3 linked regions of the Arabidopsis thaliana genome follow. The protein of the gene in region 3 purifies or fractionates together with the protein of the main gene of each other region. This does not show direct contact. Each region holds a gene or a part of one and is shown on either strand. Other genes may lie near its edges.

What was found. Proteins that work in one complex are often made in the same cells at the same time.
Region 1: the proteins of AT4G39680 (region 3) and AT5G51280 purify together in Arabidopsis thaliana (affinity purification with mass spectrometry, with the first as the bait; one large-scale study listed by BioGRID). This does not show direct contact.
Region 2: the proteins of AT4G39680 (region 3) and UAP56a purify together in Arabidopsis thaliana (affinity purification with mass spectrometry, with the first as the bait; one large-scale study listed by BioGRID). This does not show direct contact.

What each region holds. Positions count from the first base shown.
Region 1 is NC_003076.8:20,839,441-20,844,534, reverse strand, and holds AT5G51280 (DEAD-box protein abstrakt), read right to left. Parts: upstream 3,297-5,094; 5' UTR 3,080-3,296; coding exon 2,169-3,079; intron 1,755-2,168; coding exon 890-1,754; 3' UTR 543-889; downstream 1-542. Other genes in the region: ACD5 (Diacylglycerol kinase family protein), read left to right, coding at 5-71, 146-283.
Region 2 is NC_003076.8:3,551,396-3,557,560, reverse strand, and holds UAP56a (DEAD/DEAH box RNA helicase family protein), read right to left. Parts: upstream 4,466-6,165; 5' UTR 4,364-4,465; intron 4,247-4,363; 5' UTR 4,228-4,246; coding exon 4,115-4,227; intron 3,883-4,114; coding exon 3,782-3,882; intron 3,461-3,781; exon of another isoform or gene 3,325-3,460; coding exon 3,152-3,324; intron 3,053-3,151; coding exon 2,821-3,052; intron 2,741-2,820; coding exon 2,622-2,740; intron 1,938-2,621; coding exon 1,881-1,937; intron 1,789-1,880; coding exon 1,604-1,788; intron 1,496-1,603; coding exon 1,351-1,495; intron 1,261-1,350; coding exon 1,177-1,260; intron 1,083-1,176; coding exon 1,019-1,082; intron 926-1,018; coding exon 915-925; 3' UTR 543-914; downstream 1-542. Other genes in the region: GLR2.6 (glutamate receptor 2.6), read left to right, coding at 1-300; APT5 (adenine phosphoribosyltransferase 5), read right to left, coding at 5,575-5,646, 5,800-5,858, 5,950-6,099. UniProt on the Arabidopsis thaliana protein: ATP-dependent RNA helicase involved in pre-mRNA splicing. Required for the export of mRNA out of the nucleus. In addition to ssRNA and dsRNA, binds dsDNA, but not ssDNA.
Region 3 is NC_003075.7:18,413,760-18,419,161, forward strand, and holds AT4G39680 (SAP domain-containing protein), read right to left. Parts: upstream 3,850-5,402; 5' UTR 3,588-3,849; intron 3,426-3,587; 5' UTR 3,367-3,425; intron 3,203-3,366; 5' UTR 3,180-3,202; coding exon 2,027-3,179; intron 1,815-2,026; coding exon 1,626-1,814; intron 1,532-1,625; coding exon 1,380-1,531; intron 1,253-1,379; coding exon 845-1,252; 3' UTR 547-844; downstream 1-546. Other genes in the region: AT4G39675 (uncharacterized protein), read left to right, coding at 82-294; AT4G39690 (MICOS complex subunit), read left to right, coding at 3,996-4,006, 4,199-4,262, 4,345-5,061.

The DNA.
Region 1 (5,094 bases), on a different chromosome or scaffold from region 3:
ACAGGCACCTAACCGAGCTTGCAAAAAGAGGTGGAGAACCTTTGAACTTCGAGTTTGTGGAATATCACAAGGTTTGTAAAACATTTTCCTTTTCTAATCTTCTTAACTTGGTTGGGTCCTGATCAAAATATATTTGGTAATGCAGACGCGAGCTTTCACGTTTACATCATTTGGGGAAGAGAGTGTGTGGAATTTGGACGGAGAGATCTTTGAGGCTCACCAATTATCAGCCCAAGTATTGCGTGGCCTTATACCTCTGTTCGCATCTGGTCCAGAGATATAACAACATGCATGTGAATGTGGTTTTATATGAAGCTTTTGTGCATAGTTAGTGACCCAAGTGAAAAAGCCAAATGAGACTGGAAACTAGAAAAGTCTTATAGTGAACATGACAATGTTGCCAAAAAAAGAACATGGCAAACATATTATAGTATCCAAAAATTCGAGATGTAACCATTGGAGATTGGAGATGATATTACTCTTTCTCATTGTAAACATCATTATGATGTAATTAATAGTCTATACCTTTTTCCCCATAAAAAAAAAACGTTACCTTTCAGCGCTGATATGAAAATGTATCTTCAATACAACCCAACGGTGTAAAGGGGCACTTGTAACAATAACAACAGAAAGAAGAGACACCAAAATGAACAACTAAACTCAAAAGCAACCTTAGGGATACAATTCGAAAGACCTTGCACCTTACCGCATGCACATTGTGTACAAAATTTAGTTCAAGAATCCGACCATATATATTAACTAAGAAATATTTTGACATGATAGAACTCGACTCAGTGTAAAAAGCGTGACATATGGAAGATAAACATCACAAACATCACAGTTCGGTAACAGCTAAGATGAGATAACTAGCAAAGGGAACAAAACAAGATTATATTTCTCCTCTGTAGCCACCCGAGCCAAAATAATCTTTTCTTGAGTTAGAAATGGCGACACTCTTCTGGTGCTCAAGTTTTGGACAGTCTCGGATACGATGTCCAAGACCACCACAATAGGCACAACCCTTGACACCACTTGCATTAGCAATGGTCTCTGCTTCTTCCATTGGATCATTCAGCTCAGCAAGGACAGGTGGAATCCTCTGTTTAGCTTCTTGCAACAAGTGTTTCAAATCCAGCAGAGTGGTTTCGCTTTGATTCTTGTTTATAAACGTCGTTGCTATCCCAGTTTTACCACACCGACCTGTTCGTCCTATCCTATGCACATAGTTCTCAATCTCTGCTGGCATGTCGTAGTTGATTACGTGTTGTATATCAGGGAAATCTAGACCCTTTGAAGCAACATCAGTCGCAACCAACACATCTTTTTTCCCAGCTTTAAACGAAGAGATTGCGTACTCTCTGTCTTCTTGATCTTTTCCTCCATGGATGGCCACTGCTTCCACTCCTTTCAGTAACAAGTACTCGTGAATATCATCAACATCAGCTTTGTTCTCACAGAATATCAAAACCGGCGGAGAGGTTTTCTGTAGACACTCGAGGAGGTAAACAATCTTTGCTTCTTGTTTGACGTATTCTACCTCCTGGATCACATCCAGATTCGCAGCTCCAGCTCTTCCTACATTAACTGTCACAGGTTTCACCAGAGCACTTCTGGCAAAGATTTGAATCTTTGTGGGCATTGTGGCAGAGAACAATAGTGTTTGACGTTGAGACTTAAAGTGGTCAAAGACTTCCCTTATGTCATCTTCGAAACCCAAATCAACCAACCTATCTGCCTCATCTAGTGTCAGGTACCTAAAAAAAGGAAAAAAAGGAAGGTAAACATCATTGCCATCTAACATTCTCAAGATTTTGAAATTAAATGACACAGTCTCAAGACTCCAAAGACAAGAAAGATGCATTCAGAAAGAAACACCAGTGCGGAAAATTTATTCAGAGAGAAAAAATCCGATAGAATCACACAATAAAGAACATATATAGCAATGAAGCGCTAAGTAGCTAACAGACACTAGACAATCCTATTGATCTATCCCGTTAACCAGAAACAACAAAACAGGCACAATAAGCAGATATCCCCAAGAATCTAGCCAAGTGCAAAACTCAGAAAACGAGGATATAAGATCAAACAAGGCAGCCAAGACAGTAGACGCAAACATATATTACAATCAGGTTGATTAATCATATTGAAAAGAACCAAAGAAATCATACCTGCAAGCATCTAAGCTCATCTTTTTCTTGGCGAGCATATCCTTTAACCTCCCAGGGGTTGCAACAACAATATGGACACCTCTCTTGACAACCTCCAACTGGGATCTCATATCAATACCTCCAATACATAGCAACGACCTCAATGGCGGGTACCCAGCCTCAACCAAAGGAGCCACAAACTGCTCAACCACTTCATAAGTCTGCCTAGCAAGCTCTCTAGAAGGGCAAACAATAAGCCCAATGGGACCTTCACCAGCAGCAATAGGCATCATCATCTCTTCTTGGAGAGCAATCATGATCATGGGAAGCACGAAAACCAAAGTCTTTCCGGAACCAGTGAAAGCAATCCCAATCATATCTCTCCCAGCCAAAATCACAGGAAGACCCTGAACTTGAATAGGAGTAGGCTGCACAATACCTTTCTCCTTGAGAGTATCGAGAACAGGTCTAGGAAACTTCATATCCTTAAAGTTCTTAATAGGAGGAGGAATATCATCACCATTAACAATAATATGCCATTGCTTCCTAATCAAATCTCTCTGCTTACTAGACATCTTCCTAATATGCAAAGGAGGTTTCCACCCAGTTAAGAGAGGCTCTGTATAAGTGATACCTTTGGCAAGTTCACGAACAGACATAAGCGTCTTCTTATCAGATAAATGCTCCATCATCTCTTTCTCTTGTAAGATGATTTGCTCAGTAGCACTAACTTCGGGTACATCTCGCTTGAGCTGAGTTGCTTGAACAAGTAAACTAGGTTTAGCTTCAGCGAGCTTTTCCTTGTCAGCTTCTTCTTCCAATTCCGAAGCTTTTCCCTTCCGCTGAAGTATCTTCTGCGCTGCAATCGCTCTCCGCTCCGCCACTGATACATACTCAATGTAACTATCAGCTTCTTCCATGATGGATTCCATATCGAGAATTCAGCAACTTCTTCTTCTATTCCCTTTTTCAAAAAAAAATCCCAGGAGAATCGAAGAACACGTATAGGAGGAATAGAAAACTCAAATCAACAAACCCTAGTAGAGAGAGAGCCTCAAATCAACAAGCTTTGCACATCTCTCGAATCAATCGCTAATAGCTTTCCTTTAAAGGGTCACTGACCGACCGAAGTTTTTCTGTAGGTCGTCGGAAATCGGGTTTAGACGGCGTGTAAATTTTGTTTATTGGGCCTATTATCTGTAAGTTAATGGGCTTTCAATAAAGATTTCAGTGACAAAAACAAAAAAAAAACAAATTCATCTCAAATCTCAACTTTTTTTTATCCTTGATCTATTGTGTTCATCTATCATTTAACTTGGTTGTTTACGATAACAAAATTTTGTTCTGTTTTTCGATTTTTTGAATGATTTTCAGATGTATTAAAATTGCTAATATATTGTTAAGTTCTTCACATTACGTAACACGATTTAAATAAAGAAAATGACATGATACATCTTTTGTGAGTTACACTATATATGACATGTGATATAACATAACAACACATTTCATTAGACAATGTATTCGTAGACTCGTAGTTACACAAACAGAACAACTAAAATTAAACAAGGTGACATAGTGACATGTACCAAAACAGAAAATACATAGCCGATATTGTCCCGGTCATGGTTCGCATCTAACCATGATGATATTGACTAAGAAAAGAAAAAGAAATTCAAAGTCCGACCTGAATTCAAAAGAAAATAAACCTGACTCAAATGAATTAACCATTAATTTTACCCAAAAATAATATCAATTCCAAAAACAAGTTCAAGTAAGAAGGAGGAGTTGGGGTCGAAGTTCTATATCATGTTGATTATATATTGTTGCTTTTTGGTGCATGACATCATGCAATATTTAAATGTATTTATCTATATATTTTCTTATTTGGGATATAACCATATAATGAATCATACTTGATGGTTTGTTTAAAAAGAATCATACGACTTGATGTACCTAAGAAAAAGATTCATAACATGGGTTTGTGAAGCTGAGCAACGTTGACATTGCATATGTATCTCTCTTTCCCTCTTTTATGTCTAAGTGCATTTTCTCGTTCATTCATATAAACTTATATTAATATGCCACTTTCATAGTATATTAGTTAGAATTCATTGGATTGTGTTGTTGACAAAAATTGGATTGGTTAAAAACTTAAAAGAGAAAGAAAAAGATAGACACACATTGTCACATACCTATATTATAGGGATCGGGAGACAAAAAGACGTGATGGCAAGATAGATCATGCGAGCAACCAAGGGAGGAAAACCCCATTAAAATATAGATCATTATATGTATTTTATGATATTTTTGTAATATGTAGAATTCATTCGTAAACTAACCGCAAAAACCAAATGAAATTGGAATTACATATATAATAAAAAATAAAAGTAAAAGAAATTGGAATTACATCATATGTCTAGTTACAAGATGAAAAATTCATCTTAAAACATAAGGAAAGTTTTATAAAAAAATACTCATTTCTTCAAGCAAAATACTCAAATTTTAAAAATCTGAAGTCCCCTATTTAAATAGAAGAATTATTTTAGATAAATGTTTTTTCCATATATATTCAAAGTATTAAGAATAATAAATGAATATTAGATTTAATTATCACGAAATTTTGTTATTCTCTGTAACAGTTTCATCTGTATTCCTAGATGATATATTATAGAATATATATAGTATATATGTGAATTGGGATATATAGATCTCTATCATGAACGTGATCCATGATTTCATATGGTCTCCGACTCTCCATTCAATATTCTCATTTGAAGTGCCATGCAGAGGGATTATATATACATGGCAGAACTATGTGAGATTTAAGAAGAATACGCATTTTGTTACTTTACAGTTTTACACTATGTAACATGGACTACAAAAATATTTAAAAACGTTAAATCCTCAAGATATCATATAAAGTGACTAACATCATGTGATGCAATTT
Region 2 (6,165 bases), on a different chromosome or scaffold from region 3:
AATAATTCGCCAACAGATGGTAACATGAGAGCTCCACCTAATCAGCCAACAGATGATAACATGAGAGCTCCGACTAGTCCGCCAATTGATGATCAAGTCCTTGAGCCACCTGGTCCAGCATTAAATGAAGCCGATGATCAAGATCAGCTTCTGAATGATGAAGTTAATGTTGGAGATCGAAATGAAGTAGATATTATTGTGGAAGTCGACCCAACTTTGGTTCACCGTAGAAATCTGATCACCTCAAAAACAATACCCACCCGAAGAGCTGCACTATTCTCGAGGATTAAGTCTGCATAGGCTCTGATCGTAGTCTTTCTGAATGAACCTAATTATTATGTTCTTTTGCGTGTTGTTTTTTGAGTTTTTTCTCATGCAAAGGCAACAGACTTGCCTCTTAAAAAGTCAAAAGACAAATAGGCAAGGACACATTGACTCCTTCAAGTTGCCTTTTTCCCCTAACCATTGTTCCTTGGATATAAACTTTTCAATATATAAAGTAACCATATATACGTGTTGTATCTCTTCCACACTAAATGAAATGTGTTATAAAAAAAAAGCATCACATGAAGGAAGTAACGCTGATGAATGACGATTCTTAGCAACACCATGATAAATTGATAATAGATCGATTCCTAAGGAACACAGTAATCAGGTCGAGACTAAATCCTGATATTTCAAACATAATAATCTCTTGTACAAAAAACTGGACAGCTTTTAACTGTGCGATTTGGAGAGTGACTCGAATCTCCTTTAAAGAGTACAACAGACGTTCTAAACATATGGAAAAAAATGTCGTCATAGAAAACACTAAAACAAACGGAGCGAGAGATAGTTGTGAACCCCCATCACCCTTCGAACACCTACAAGGTTGAAATCTGAAGAGCTTCTTTCCTGAGGGACGTGCTACTTGTTTAAGAAGGCACTGAACAAAGAAAGAAGAAGAAACAACATTAATATCACAACCAGACAAAACCAAGCTTTTAAACAAACAATTGGTAAGGGATTTCACACTTACTGTAGGTTGAAGTATCAATCTGCTCCGGAAGTTCCTTTATATCAACCTCAAACCTCTCTTGTACCTGTCCAAGATTTATAATTGCCACTTTACTAAATATCCAACTCAATTTCAAGAGGAGTTTTCCGTGGACTTATTACAAAGATTGAACACCATACCTGGTTAAGAACCTCTGAATCTGAAGCAGATGCAACAAATGTGATTGCAAGACCCTTGGTTCCAAATCTACCAGCTCTGCCAACCTATACCATACACAGCAAAACGGTAAAGTTACAAGAGCCCTTTCAGTGAGATCAACAATCAAATAATAAATTTCAGTATTATATACTTACCCTGTGAAGATAGGTATCAGCAGAATCTGGCATGTCATAGTTGATGACAATGTTGACACGCTCAATGTCAATCCCTCTTCCTACCAAGTCAGTCGCCACAAGGATCCTTTTGTGCCCTTCCTTGAAACTTTTGTATCGAGTCAACCTACATAACATATCGTATTAGCCTTAAGAATTGGACTCCTCTCCATGAGGGCTTTAAGAGCAGGTAGGGTCCTTCAAAAACATTGAATTTTGAAGAGAATGTACAGACCTCTCTTCTTGAGACATTCCAGAGTGGATGCATATTGAGGGGAAATTGCATTCCACCAGTAACTTGTTCAGCTCAGCAGCCCTGCTCACGCTCTTCACAAAAATGACAACTTGATTGAAGTCCAACGCATCAAGAAGGTCATTCAACTTCCGGTTTTTCTCCATCTCGCTCAGTTTGATATAGTGCTGTTACAGTATGACAGTAAAAGGTCTTTTAAGTATCAAACAACAAACTATATTTCCATTGAATAAGAAGACCTAACACCAGATAAGAGTACCTGGACAAGCCCATGAAGAGTCAACTTGGCTTCATCATCGACATATATTTCCATTGGCTGAAAGGAATAGATATCAGGTAATAATTAGCAAGCTTTTCTCAGGAAATGATTTACACTACAAAAGTGAAGATGGATGTAAAACCCCTGATCTGAGATCCTCGTCCACCAGGTTCTCTTCATAGATGTGAGTTTTGCTATGATACAGCGATATTGCTCGGAACATTAAGGCCCATACAATCACAATGAAACCTTGGGACAACACAGTACCCCACCCAAAACCCACCCAGCACTGCTAGAATTGCAAAGAAATTGAAACTGAATAAAAGGTAATGACGAAAGAAGATCCTGTTGTGCAATGGTCACTCATTCATACCAATGCTACAGAGGCTCACACTCACAGTTCTCGATCCCTACAAACTACCCAAAGCATTAGTGGATTGAGACCCATCGAGAGATCAGTTGCAGCTTTTCCAGGGCAGAACCGCAGAAGATGCCCAAATAATGCTATAATCACCCATAGAAACCATACCAAAGCTACAGAGTCTCACACTCACAGTTCTCGTTCCCTACAAACTACCCAACCATTATTGGATTGAGACCCATTGAGAGATCAGTTGCCGCTTTTCCAGGGCAGAACCGCAGAAGACGCTCAACTAATGCTATGATCACTCATAGAAGGCTAAAAATAGTTGAAAACTAGAAGACTTGCAAAGGGAGAGAGAATTGGCCATGGAACATTACATCTTGCATAAATTTTTTGCAGACTGGGCGTATCTCTTTGCTGAGCGTTGCTGAGAACATCATTACTTGTTTGTCATGAGGAGTCATCTTGAAAATCTCCTGCACATCCCTTCGCATGTCTGGTAAAAAAAAAGTTAAAGTGTTAAAACATAAAATTATTCAGGGATCGATGTAATAATGATGTCAGAAATCAGCATACCAAGTGACTCGAGCATTTTATCACATTCATCAAGAATAAAATGCCTCACATTCTTCAAAGAGAGATCTTTCTCCCTGGCAAGTGCAAGCACCCGACCAGGGGTACCAACAACAATGTGAGGACATTCATTCTTCAGCAAGTCTTTGTGAATTTTAATGTTGACTCCACCATAGAACACCGAAACCTTTGTATCAGGCAGATAGGTACTGAATCGCACAAACTCATTGCAGATCTGCAAGTAATTGTCAGCATCAAGGCAAAAAGCATTAGAGGAAGAAGACGTACAACAAAACTATAAGCCAAGAACCTGAGTGAAACAAGAAGGTCATACCTGGTAAGCTAGCTCTCTTGTATGGCACAAGACAAGTGCAGAAACCTGGCCAGGAGATGGTTCAATCTGTTGTAGAGTAGACAGGACAAACACAGCAGTCTTCCCCATACCAGACTTTGCTTGGCAGATGACATCCATGCCCAAGATAGCTTGAGGGATACATTCATGTTGCACTGGTGGAGAACCAAAGAAAATTGTACCGAAGAAAGCCTTTATAAGTAGATGATAACCTCCATATCTTTTAAATTGGTGGCTTTAGCACATGTTTAAGCTCACTCCAAACCAATAGATTGAAATATCGTTTATTACCTGGAAAAAGTAATCAGTGAAACGTTAATAAACAAAGAAAACAAAAACCATTATAACAGGAAATAAAAAAGAATTTGACCTCAACACAAACTTTTTTTAATTTAGTTAGATGATAAGCAAAGGACCAAGATAAAGTATAAAATATCTTTAACCAACATATCTTCTCAAAACTAGACGAAGTACATATAATTAAAAGTTTCCGGACAACTAAAACATCTTATGGAGAAGTCACTTCTGTAAATTATACAATATCATTCGGTAATAGAATGGTGAAAGGCAAGGCAGAAAAGTCAAAGGTAGGGTGTATTTCATTGTAATAACCTTCAGATGGATGTTCAAATCCAGAGTCAACAATAGCTCTGAGAAGCTCCGGTTTTAAAAGGAAGTCTCTGAATCCAGAACTGTGTATTCCCACGTACCCTCTGTCACAAAGAGAAAATACAAGATGATAAACACATGACCGTCTAATATTGGGTAGGTTCCAGGAATTTTAGCATTGAAGAACTTAGTCAATTGTCATAAAGTTAAGCAACTAACCAAACACATAGATAATTGAAGAACTTAGTCGGTTGTTATCAAGCAGTAATCTAAGAAAACCCTAAATTTAAACATCCACTATCTCATGAAACAGATCGAGGAAATCATAAAACTCACTTTTTCACGGCTTCACCGTTAACTTTGTTTCCAGAATCTGGGACCTTCTCGTCTTCTTCTTCATAGTCCAAGAGCTCCTCCTCGTAGGCTTCGTTGTCTCTAGCGTCTCCCATACTTCGCAAATTCAACAAGCTGCAGAGAAATTTCGGGTAAGATTCCAAATCCAAAACATTAACCTAAGATTCAGTAGGAAAGCATCTTCCATTGGAACTTTGGATAAGCAATTGAGTTCTCGAGCGAGAATTTTACCTGAGATAAGGAGCAGAGTTGGTTGGATCTCGAAATCGACTAGGGTTTCGAAATCTCTGACTGAAGAGAATGAATCACCAACGCCGCGTTGGTGTCGTAAATAAATATATACAAGGAGACTGGATAGGGTTGACAATAAGCTTTACTTTAATGGGCCTAAAGTTTTTATTAATCGGCCCTTCTGCGCCAATTATTATCTAAGTTTTTTTTTCTTTTTTTCTTTAGTGGGTTCGAGTCAATTTAGACAATGACGGTCAGGGCTCGTCTTGGTTTAGTGGGTTCGAGTCAATACGAACAGAACAGTAGAGCACAATAGATAACAAATTGGTTTAGTTAAGATATTTCATTTCCCTTAATAACAATGTTTTTGTTTCAAGGACCCAACAAAATTGTAGGCCCATTAATTAAAACAAAACCCAATTTAGACTGAGTTCAACCATATCTTTCACTCTCTTTGGAATCGTTTGGACGAAGCTCAGATATTTTTACTCTTGCAATTCAGAGATTTCGAAACCCTAATCCGATTTCGCGATCTAACCAGCTCTGCTGAGTTCTCAAGTTATCCATCAGACTCTTCTGTTTATTAGCAAATAAAGCTTTGTAAGGAAAGCCATTGTGTACTTTCACTTTTATTGTTTTATAGTCTTCAATAAATAACACATACAGTAGTTTGCTTATGTAATAATTTGTATCATGAAAACTTTATTAACGATTTTCAATTTATAATTTGAAATCAGTGAAGTAAGTTGTTAAGTTTAGGGAGAAACAAAGAAAAACTTGCAGCAGTGCTGAAGCAAAAATATGGACCAATATTGCAGTAATGAATAGTTTTGTCGTAGAATACAACCAACTTTATCAGTGCTCAGTAATATCAGCATTAAATTTAGTAAACCTACTAGTTGTACTTTTTAGATTTCCCGCATAAATTACGAACGTATCTTTACCCTTTTAATGATTACAGTTATTATAAACTGATTAACATGAGTTAGTGATCCATCAGAAATTCCACCAAACCGGGAAATGTAAAGACTCTTTTCAGTATCTCGGTTTTTTACCAACCACTGCCGTGGAAAGTACACATCAAAATTCAAAATCTACAGAGATCAATAAACGAGAACGAATACAAGAAGTTGGAACCCTAGAAATTTTGAAAAAAAGAACATGAACTCTGCAGGGAAAGAAAACTGAACCGGAAGTAACCGGTATGTATCCTAACAGAACTCATCTAATCCACTAGGCTCCACCAACACATAAAGCGGCTTCCCTTTGAGCTTGTGTTGCCCCTAAAAACAATTCAAAATTTTCACAAACTCAATGAGCAAATTTGAGTTGAGATTATAACAAAAAAACTAACTCTATCACTACATTTTAGAAATCATTTCAAAAGAACAAAACCAGAGATAACTTCTTAGACAAGTAAGATAAATGTGACTCACCTTGACTTCAGGCAAGCCAATAACACAAGCACACTCAACAACTTCAGCTCCTTGGCTCTCTGTAAAACGTCAAACTGTATCACATTACAATTCAAGACCAAAAAATTCTCTTTAAAAACTGAAAAAGAAAACAAGAAGAAAGAAAGAAACCCAATAGGCTCATTGCGGCAGAAAGAGTGCCGCCAGTAGCAACAAGATCATCAATGATAATGACGCGTTCGCGTGGCTCAACAGCGCCAACATGCATCTCTAAACGGTCATGCCCATACTCGAGCTCATAAGACTCCGATATCACTTTCCCTATATTTTATAGTTTCGCCAATTTTTCAGAATCTCAAGAGCTTCTCTATCACAATAACCAAAACA
Region 3 (5,402 bases):
ACAAACTCAACCTTCACTTCGAAAATCTTAACCACATCTTATTCTTAACACATTTATTTTGTTAACCAACACTAAAAAGTAATGTCGTCCATTGGAGCAAGTTACGCACACCTACAAGTCATGCAGAAGAAGCAGAAGGAGAAGATGAAAAAGCTAGAAAAGGAGAGAAACTTCGACCACGATGAAGCTCATAGACTCCCTGTCGAAACATCTTTTGCGTCCGGAAGGATTTCTAATAAAATCTATCCTTCTCGTTTGTCTTATGAACAAGTAGAGTTCAAATCACAAAAGTGAAGTTCAAAGTAATGAAATTCTTGAAAAGGATCTTCAGAGCCTTCTCTCCCAAGTATTTGTCCTTTGTGTTTGCATGTAATTATGTATGTATGTGTGATGTGTCTAAAACGTATCTTGGTCGTCTTTGTAGTTTTGTGAAAGTGTACAATTTGTGTGTTTATGTTATCAAGTGTTAAAAGGTTATTCCATTGACACACGCCCATTACTAGGTTTGACACATGATCTAAAAGTAAGTTGCAAGATTTGAAATTTGGTAATATTGGGCTGCTATTACTTTATTTTTGACCCAACAATTGTTCATAGATCCATGAAAAGGTAAAAGAAGAAATGGAGAGGAAAAGATCTAACACACAGAGAGCCAAACAACTCTGTTAGTTCATCACAGGTTCAAACCAAAGTCTACTAAACATAAGAAGAGTCTTCCCATCCGTTCTACATTAAAAATAACAAACCAAACTCAACAGAGTACTCAACTTTTGTCCGCACTGAGCTAAATTCCTAAGAGCCTGCTACGAAAACAATGACCTGAAATTCCCAAGAACCAGCAAGATCACTTGTTATTATTCGCTGCAAGTTTAGCTGCAACTTGCTCCTCTGACAAGGGTAAGTAATATATCCTGGGGATCGCTTTTGTCTTCTTGAATAGATCATCAAGAGTGACAATGGGAGGTTCTTGTTCCTCAGGGGCTATAGGAGGAGGGGGAGGCAGAGGAAGACGTTCTACAACGTGAGGTGGTTTGGCCAGAGGTGGTGGTGGTGGAAGAGCAGTTGGAGGTGGCCGCGAAAGAGTCTGAGCTTGTGGCTGATGCTGAGGCTGAGGAGGCAGAGGAGCTTCCAGTTTTTCTTTTACTTCTTCTGCTCTAACAAATTCAGCTATCAGATGGCGGCCTCCATTAGGTGGCCACTGGAGGTTATACACTGCTTCTCTTGTTGCTGCTGCTTCTTCAACCGAGGGATACTGCAGTCACGTCACAACTCACTCATGTTACACAAAATTCTTTGGATATTTAGATAATTGAATTCGAAAGTACACAAACAGAATCAACATTTTTGTAAATCAAAAGGATTTGAAGAAGCGGTCTTACCGATACATAGCAGTGGGTCTTAATGTGGTCCATCCAGAAACTAGTGACATTTCCGGTTTTACCCAGGAGCTCCTGAACAGCTTTCAGTGTGAACGGCCTAAGGAAACGGTCAATCCTGAGGGAATTTGTAGGCTCCTTTGGAGATGGAGGAACTGCCAATAAATATTGAACACATCTATCAAACAAAGCTTTAAGACAATGAATAAGAGATGGAAACATACATAGAGGGGGTGCTGTATTACATACCCACACGTTCCTTGGGTCCATCTTCACTAACCGAAGAGTCAGACCTTGAGAAGTCGCGCTTCAGACCAGTCGACCTTGGTGTTGTAGTGGGTGTAGCACTATTAGTGATCTGTGCTTCAGGAACTTTAATACTATTAGAGTTCCATCGGCGCCTCTTTGCAGGTTCATTGTTTCCAACAGCTTCTTGATCTACATTGAGTTACAAAGAAAGACATTTCAGCATACATAGCTAGAATTTCAAAACAGATGCTTCAAAAGCCAATATATATAAGAAGTAGCCATAAACGACAAAGATGAAACAACTATTAAACACTACCAGTATATGCCTCAAACACCAACATTACAGATTAAACACAGTAAAAGATTTGATTAATAAAACAAATGAATATGAGAGGAATTACCATTAGCAGGAAGCTTTCTTTTGTCAGAAGCCACCAGTGGGTGACTTTTATTTTCAGGGGATTTCCCTTTCCCCGCATCCATATCAGCACGGCTTTCCTCCTTAGAAAGCATTTCAATTTTTGCACTCTTATCATCAGATGTAATTGACTCGGATTGCTTTGTCTCCGGCTCATCCTCCATAGACTCATCACCAGAACTTCTATCTAAATTCAACTTTTCTGAGTCGCCTGCATCGATAATATTATTTTCTTTGATCATATCTGCGTTTGCAGCATTGCTGTCATCCCCACCTCCAACAGATGTCTTCTGCTCAAGTGGCTCCTCGACATCCATTGGATGCGATTCGCCAACGACTGTTGATGGCTCTTGGAACTTATTAACATTTTGTTCTAATTTGACATTATCAGCAATTTTGTTATCCTTTAGTTCTATTTTTTCATTATTTGACACAGAATCAGTAGAAATACAATCAGATTTTACCTCAAACCCTGTAACGGGGATGACCTCAGATACCTGGTTGTACATAGCAGATTTTTCAAGCACTGCCTCTGATGGTTGAGCCTTAGAATCCCCACCATCCAACCCACTAAATGGTTCATTATTCTCAGATTTGTGCTCACTAGACGCCACTTGCACAACTGCTGCATCACGTGCAACCACTGAACTATCAAGACCAGCTATGTCTCTAACATCATCAACTTTCTCTTTCTCATCTTCATCACTAGCGAATGGCACAGCGTTAACCTCTGGTTCTGAAAACACCGGGGCTGGTGTAGTCTCAACACCAGCTGAAGCTTCAGTTGTTATCTTGGTCTGAGTTGGTTCTGGGGTTTTCTCAGCTGTAACAGGAGTTGTCTCAGTGCTAAATGCCGCTTCAACAGGAGTAACAGGAGTGGTTTGATTACGATCACCTACAGTAACAGGAAACATCTGAGGCTCTTGATTGGCTTTTTCAGCAGCAGCAACAGTAGCACTATTGATCCTTTCAGACTCTTCTTGCTCAGCACGAAGTGCTTCATCAAGACGCCTAACCAATTCCTCCTTCAAGCCTCTTGTTGTTAGTCTCCGTCTTTTAAGCTCTTCTTTCAATTCCGTAACCTTCCACTTATCAATTGGTCGGTTGTCCAAGACTGGAAAAGGCGATGACGACATCTTAGCTTATGAGAGAGCTGATTCTGAAAAAATATTGAATATAAAATTAGAGAAACCCATCGCAGAGGACAAAACCTAAATCAGACAAATTAGCAAAGCAACGCAGCAAATCTATATAATTTAAAACCAAAGCTTAAATCTTTAACAAACCCAATCCAAAAGAGCTAGAAGTTTAAAGATGACTTACAACAAAATGGCTTGAAACTTCCTCTGATGGGTAAAAGAAGGCAGGAAAAATGTAAAACCCTAAATTCGTAGCATAAGAAGAATGAAACAATTAGAGAGACAAGACAACAATCAAAACCCAGTACGGAAGATTACAAATTTATCAAATTTCCGACTCAAAATAGATTCTTCAACACCAGATTTTACTCTCTTAAGACGAAGAAGAAAAAGAAGAACGCAAACCTTAAAAACGAAATCCAGAAGCAATGGAACGGAGAGAGAGTGACCTTTGGTTGAAGAATTCTAATCGAGAATGAAAGATAAAGCGGACATTGGGAATTTTTCTATCCCGTCATTACAAAAATTGGGAATTTTGGAAAGAGGAGGCGAATTCTAGGGTTCTTGTTCGTCGAGTGGTTTTGATATTGGGGAAAAACTCGAGGACCTGAAGTGATAATGGGTCGCATTGTATTGTGAAATGTCTAAATTACCCTTTTTCTCAAGTAATTTTGTACGGCGTCGTTTCAATGCTTTTGGGGTTTTCAGAGAATACTATTATTTTACTCACCGGAGGCTCCGAGTCTTCTCCGTCCGTCGTAACATCTTCGCTCTCTCGTTCGGCGTTTGTATCACCAGAGACGCGACGCGATAATGCTTCGGAAGTATGTTTCCTGAACCCTAAGTTTATTATCTCAATCCATCTTGTTGAATTTTGGCTTCTCTTGTTCCATCAATCTCGTTGCGTAGCTTTCGGGTCTGATTTTATTGATTCCTCTAAATTGAGAGCTATTTGTGACTTTGATTCTCTTGTGAATCATACCGAATGTGGTTTATGTTGTTGCTCTTTTGCTTAGGTCGGTTCTCGAGCTGTCTTCTCGTTTGTCAATAAAGAGATTCCCGAGGAATTTGGGAGCTCAGGTGAGTTATGAATTTAGTTGTGATTCTTAGTTAGCGTCTTGTGAGTACTCTCTTGGATTGATTGTGTTATGTTATGCATCAGAGGTTTCATTTGAGCTCTTCGAGAAATGCATCTACATCTGGTAAAAATGGTCTCCCTGGAGCTAAACCCGTTGGGAAACCAGATGCCTCAAAAGTTGATCCTCCAAAAGTGACTCCTCCTCCTCCTACTAAAGGAAATTCTTCAAAAGTGGTTATAGGAGGTGTTGCAATCGCTGGGGCTTTTCTGGTAGCGTATCAGACTGGCTATTTGGATCAATATCTGGGGAAAGAACAGCAGAAATTAAGTGAGCGAATTCATTCTGATGCTCTAACTGAAAAGCTGGAGGAGGCTCATCATTTGAATGTACCTTCCGGTGTTGAAGATTCTACTGAAAAAGATGGAAAAGTTGAAACGCAACCTCAAGTTACTCATTCTGAAGCTTCCGAGGGAGTGCAGAGTGACATAGAACTGCAACCCGAGTCTGATCTATCATCTGACCGTTTTACATATATTTCTTCTAACCAAGAGGAGACACCTCAAGAAACTGTCATTGATAGAGCAGAGATAAACTTGCCTATTTCTGCATCTGAAGATTCAGGAGCTAAGCCGGACATGCCATCAGAAATTATTTCTGAGGCAGAAAGTGTGAAGTTGGAAGCTGTACCCAAACCTGGGGATAGTCCTATTATTGTTAATGCCCAGTCTAGTTCGGTTCATAGAGAAAGCGAAACGGAATCTGCTTCACCAAAGGATCCTGCCGCTCTAAAGACACCTGAGGTACTAAAATTTCCTTTGCTGAACTTGAAAAAGAACTACAAGTAATGAAATGAATAGCTTACAGATTTAAAAATCAGAAGATGAATGTCTCAGTATTCCTTGTTTCATGAAATTTTTCTTGTCTCGTCCTTTTCCTGCATTGGACCAGAATGCTTGTATTTTGAAAGGGGATACACCTATGTAAAGGGATTCTGCTACATTGTTGGAGTTAAAAGCACTCCTTTGTTTTGTGCAAATTCTTATTATATTGGTTGAAATGGGATATTCATATGGACATTATGTTAACTGTCCTGAATCAAATTCTGATAGAAACTGATTTTTTAAGAAGGAATGTAGGGAAC